Regions from separate parts of the Mus musculus genome. Here region 2 is reported to be linked to region 1. The links are microRNA targets in miRTarBase. Many come from high-throughput screens and were not tested one by one. Region 1 holds a microRNA gene; the other region holds the end of a gene's coding sequence.

What was found. Region 1 holds the annotated microRNA mmu-miR-340-3p (UCCGUCUCAGUUACUUUAUAGC, at 786-807, opposite strand). A microRNA usually pairs through its seed, bases 2 to 8, with sites in the 3' UTR of a target mRNA and lowers its output. Matches are read on the target gene's strand: a 7mer-m8 pairs with bases 2 to 8, a 7mer-A1 pairs with bases 2 to 7 and ends in A, and an 8mer does both.
Region 2: the mRNA of AW549877 is a reported target of mmu-miR-340-3p. Seed matches in the 3' UTR shown: 7mer-m8 at 788-794.

Annotation. Positions count from the first base shown.
Region 1 is chr11:50,067,569-50,070,568 of GRCm38, reverse strand. Mir340 (microRNA 340) reads right to left here and starts at 867; the gene lies at 770-867. The region is part of intron 2 of Rnf130 (ring finger protein 130); the gene reads right to left.
Region 2 is chr15:3,983,764-3,986,895 of GRCm38, reverse strand. It overlaps AW549877 (expressed sequence AW549877), which reads left to right. Exons shown (of 6, transcript NM_145930.3): 6 at 417-3,132. The coding sequence ends at 700. Among named protein-coding and RNA genes, the nearest start is that of Fbxo4, 5.8 kb to the right of the region's middle.

The sequences.
Region 1 (3,000 bases):
AGCCAGCATCTCACATTGCCTCGGCTAGCCTCAGACTTGAGTTTTATGTTAGTTTTCCACCTTGTTTAACCATGCCCAGCGCACTCAAATCCTCTAGGCAGGCCCAAGTTTCAACTTTCTGGACTACTACCCATAATGATACCTAAAACCTTCAGTTCCTAAAAGCTGTTCAGAGTTCTGCCCACAGGCACAACTTTTATAAGTTAATTACAAGGATGGTTCAGTTGTGTTTTCAAGTCCTTTTCTCACATGGCTTCAAGGGCCTGTTTTAAGTCAGAGTGAGCAGCTACTCACCAAGGTCACTTTTGTGAGTATGAAGGAGGATTGTGCATCCAAACACAAAATACCCTCTCAAAACAGCAAGCAGAGACCCCAGACCTGACCTTTTGAAGGCTCTGTCAACAAATATTAGAAACACTTGTTTTGATTTCTTGTTACCTTTAGCAGTCAAGATGAGACACAACAGAAACTCAGTAACAGAAGTTTTGAAAAAAATATAGCTCAATGGAATATATATTTGCATAATACTGTATTCAAAACGGTTTATTCACTTTATTAGAGTAGTAGTTTACCAGTTTATTTTTGCTTAAAAAATCTATAAACAAAAAGGAGACAACAAAATTAAAACTAGCATTATTAAGTTAACATCTGCCTCTGGTGAGTGAGTTAAAAAGAATCATAAAAGAATGCTAAACCAGTTTAAATTTCCATTTAGAAACCTTAAGTTTGTGCTTTTACAATGTTGATCAACAGGCATGATCTGTGGTGTTAAGATACCAGGTATGGCTATAAAGTAACTGAGACGGATCCCACAAACGACATATGACAATCAGTCTCATTGCTTTATAATCACACCAAGTACAATTGGTTTTAGAAATCAGTTCTGAGGCTCCCTCTTGAAGACTCAAGCTGGAAGTGGGGAGAGCTGCACAGGTAGCCAAGGCAACCAATCCAGTAATTTCCTTAACCGAACACTAAATGGGCGCGTCAACTAATCTCAACAGGAAGCTGTTTGGGAAAGAAAAATTTAATTAGTTCAACACTTGTCAATATTCACTGTTAGGAGGACAAGAGTGAATAGATCTCACTGTAGCTTTATCATCCTAGCAAAAAGAGGAGACTGGGCAATGTTGCCAAAGGAGACTGAAAATGATCAAATAAAAAAGTACAGCAGCACATCTGATATTAGTGAAGGCAGTGATCTCTTACAGAAGGTGATGAAGCAAACTACAAACCCTCCTAGGAAAAAAGTTTCTTTCTCCCCAACATCTAGAGCTGGGCTGGGTTCAAAGAGCCTAACAAGATGGCTCAGACATTTACAAATGGGGATGGGACTAAAGAGATGGCTAAGAGCACTGGTTGATCTTGCAGAGGACGAGGTTTGGTTCCCAGCATCAATATGGCAGCTCATAACTACTGTAACTCCAATTCTAGAGGGAACAGACACTCTCTTCTGGCCTTCGAGGGCTCTGTACACATGGTGCACATAGACTCATGCAGGTATACACACACACACACACACACACACACACACAATAAAAAAGTAAATAAACCTTAAAAACAAAACAAAAAACTCTTGGGAGAGTTGGTGCAGATTCAGGAGGGATGATGACAACAGAGGAAACTTAACCCTCAGGATAAAACTAGGATTAGAGTAGCAGTAGCTGGTAGGAGAGAGGGGTTAATTAGACTGAAGTAATGGAAACATTAAACAGATACAAAGAATGTGACCAGATCACCCCTATGCCTGTGTTCTGAAACACCAAGACATGGCTTTGGAGTTCAACAATCATGCAGCTATGTGTTCCTTTTCTACTGCTGTGGTTAAACATCATAGCCAACATAACGTATACAAGGAGGGGCTTGTTTGGCTTATAGTTCCATCATGGTGGGGAAGAATGGCAGCAAACTGTAGGTAGGAACTGGATGCCAAGAACTCACACCTTTTTAAAAACACTGTTAATTTCAATTATGTGTTTATGTGTGTAGCTTTGTGCATGCAAGTTATAGTTGCCTGTGGAGACCAGGAGTCACAGACCCCCTGGAAGGGGGGATACGGGCAGTTGTGAGAGACCTGTTGTGGGTGCTGGGAATTGAACTCAGGTTCTCTCCATGAGCAGAAGAATGCCCTGGAAACCTCTGAGTCATCTCTCCAGTCTCACATCTTGAACCATAAGCACTAAGCTGAGAGAACAGCAGTAAATTTTGGGAATCTTTAAACTTTCAAAGCTGGACTCTACTAATACACTCCTCTTCCAACAAGGCCACACCTCCAACACATCCCCAAATGATACCATGCACCTGAGACCAAGTGTTCAAATACGGGCACCTATGGAAGATTTTCTCACTCACACCACCATAGCTAGTATTAATTCTTAGAGATGGCAGTGAAATAAAGAATATTATGAGTATTATTATAATCCCAGCACTCTGGAGGCAGAGGCAGGTAGATCTCTGTGAGTTGGAGGCTAGCCTGGTCTATAGAGCGAGTTCCAGGACAGTCAGGGCCACACAGAGAAACCGTGTCTTGAAAAACAACAACAACAAAAAGTTATTACTTAACCTCATGTTTATATGTATATGCGTGTGTATCTACCTGTCACTGACTCCCTGGAACTGGTGTTACAGGTGACTGTGAACTGTCCCATATGAGTTCTGAGAACCGAACTCTTTGAGAGAACAGTAAGCACTCACAACTACTGGACCATCTTGCTAGCCTGCCAATTTATTCTTTAATAGGAATTTATGTTGTTTTAGTAACTTAGCATGGCTACTTAAATTTGCAATTCTTCCCTGTAATTCTTCCCTTTTTATTCTGAGAATTTTCTTTTCTTTTTTTCTTCATAATTTACTTATTTTTATTCTATGTGTATTGGTATTATGCCTGCATATACAGACGTTCGTGTGTGAGAGTGCCTGGAACTGGAGTTATAGACAGTTGGGAGCTACCATGTGGGTGCTGGGAATTGAACTCTGGTCTTCAGGAAGAGTAGCCAATGC
Region 2 (3,132 bases), not on the chromosome of region 1:
GTTAAATTCACCTTCTGATGGAAATTGTCCTGGGTGGTTTTTTTTTTTTTTTTTTTTTTCCTAGTAATACAAAGCATTTTGGAGTATCATCATCTGTGATAATTTAGAATTGTATAGTATACAGAATTTAACGTATTATTTTAGAAGGGCTCTACCAGTGAAATTAATTCTCAAAAAAGGCCCTAAAAGAGGCTCCTAAAATGTTAAGTACGCACACTTAAATGGTTTTAAAATTGTTTGACAGTAGTGTGCTTTGTCTGGGGGTTGAACGCTTCTAGGAAAAAGAGAAGTGCTGACTAAGTTAGGCCTGTGCTAGTGAGAGTGGCCTTCTCCAAGCTAGTAAGTGGTATGACAAAGGTTTATTGTCAGAGCTTTTATTAGTGTTGTAAGAACTGAATTCTAAATGTCCTTCCCAGGAGTCTTTAGTGACATCCATGTGCTGGCTATGATGTACAGTGGAGAGATGTGCTACTGGGGGTTAAAGCACTGCACAGATCAGCAGTCAGAAAACCATGAAGTTGATACTGATGTTTTTGGAGCAAGCTGCACCACACACAAAGAAACCTTGGATTTCCGAGAAGTAGGAGAAAAAATTTTGAAGAAGTATGTGTCGGTGTGTGAAGGACCTCTGAAGGAGCAAGAGTGGAACACCGCAAACGCAAAGCAAATCTTAAGTTTCTTTCAGCAGCGCTGTAGCTAGGTGTTCATCTAGGTCTCAACTCAAATACATAAAGATGCTGAAGTGGGGAAGAAGGCTTTGACAAAGGAGATGTACTACACTGATCTTGAGACGGTTACACTACATAAAGGTGCCCAGTGCACTACGCTTCTCTAATGCTGTCACCTTTCCCTGAGTGGTCTTAGGTCTGTGAAGAATATTCTCTAATTTCTAGAATGGCATATATGCCATTCTAACTGAACTTGAACTACATATAAACCTGCCACTGGTAAGGAGGAACCCAATGTAGATGGACAGTTGTTTTCTAATATTTTAGGTTATATTTTTTATTGTACTAAAATATATGTAACACAGAATCTCCTTATTTTGAAGTATGCATACTTCAAAGATGGAAATCAGGTTTTCTCCTTGTTTCAAATATAAAGTATAGCTATAAATGTAGGCAATTAGAATATTGTGACTAATATTTAGATTTCATTTCCAGTAATTAAACAACAAAGGATTTAAAAGATGAAACTTATTTATTTTGCCATGCATTACTAATAATACTTAATTTACTTATCCATTTTATAAATTATTTTATTTTATTTAAAACAAAAACTGCATGGTTACTCCAAAAAGAAGGTAAATTCAGTATAGATGAGACCACCATTAGTTCAGATGCTTGTAGGGCACATCTTTGCATATAATGAACTTTACACATATTTTGCCTTTCAGTAAGACTGAAATGCTGAAGGCCAAAGAGCCTAGTTTGCTGTCTTGCTCACCTTTCTCTGCCTACCTCAAGTCTTCCGATGCACTAGACTTCTGTCCCAGTGACATCTTCACATTCCTGTCATTTCTGTAACTGAATCTAAGCATGAGCCACACTCAGTTTCTCTTTCTGAAGTCTTACATTTTAGTAACTGATGACAGTTCTCTTCTTTTCAGCTTTTAAAATTTCTTTGTTTTCATTGGTTTTTCTGTTTTCATTCTACAGCTTTCAACCTTTTCACGGGCTTCTCTAGACTGCTCTAACTCCTGAACAGCGACCTCTTTCATGTTTTTTTTTGCCCCCTACTTCATGGGGCATCATCACATGAATACTGGCCTCCCTTGTTTCCTCTCCTATTTTATCTCCTTGGCAGCATCATCCTTGGCAGGCTCTCAGCACTGCATTAATCTTGTCAGCCAGTCATTCTTAGGAGACTAAGTTTTATGGAAGGCATGCAATCCTTCAAAGTGTATTGCTACACATTGACTTCACTTAACAATCCTAACTGCAAAGCTACTAAGGTGCCTCCCCTTTTCCCACCATGGTAGAGTCAAAGTTCATTAGTCACCTCTACCCTTGCTCTTCCACAGGAAGTTTAGATTATGAGGGAGTCAACTCTATTTATGCATTTTTCTGTTTTAAAGGAGAAGAATTTGCCTAATTTCTGTTGAAGACTGATCTTTGTTATTTCTTCTTTCTCCTGTAGTTTCTCATTTTCTGCCTGTCCTCATGAAAGTTTCATTCTCTTCCTTCTCTTTTTCTCTTTACTCTAAATACTCATGGCAAGCAGTATTTCTCACTGCCATCATGGCTTATGCCACCTATAATGTTAGGCTGGTTTCCATGCCAGGAACTGGAACCCCACTCTCCTTGCTCTCTGAATTTCATTTTTAATTGACTGCTAAATGTCTTCACTTTGACAAATACTGACTGCATGGTCATTTTAAGTTCAATATGAGCAAATAACAAATTTTTATCTCTTATGGAAATCTTTTCTGCCTCATTTCCCTCCAATTTTGTATGTTTTCCAAATAAGCAAATAGAAGGCCTACTTTCCATCCTTATTTCTGCACACACTCTGATTTGTGTTCTAGACCAACGGTTTTCAGACATTAAAATGCGAGGTTCCTTTTTGATAAACAGAATTCTGAATAAGCAGTGGAAGCCAAGGGAGATTCCACAATCCCTGCCACAACTCTTGGCCTGTCTTTATACAGCCAAGATTTTTATGTAACCTAGCATTTTAGCAAGTTTTATTAGGAAAATATTGTAGCTTTCTAAATCTTTAATGTGAATTTTAGAAGCACAGATTTCTTTAGTGGATCATAATCAGTTAATCAAGTGCTTCCACTCCCTTTCCCAAATGCACTTATGTTTTACAACCATAGTACCGTTGTAGACGTCATTATTGCTGGACTGGTCTTTGTGGCCAGATAAATTACTTTACTTGTATGACGTACCTTTAGGAATACTGTGTCTAAAGGCTTTTTTCAGCCCTTTCCAGTAGAAATTAGATGTTCCTTTATTTTCTCGCTTCCTTTCACATGTCACCACAGTACAATGTGTTGTAATTTTTTTTCTTACTACTGAACGAACTCCATATCTTAAAATTTTATCTTTGCACACACTGTTCATTGCATGGTAGGTAGTAATGTCTTCTGAATTAATGAGGCATGATTTGAAATGCCAAACTTTGCAC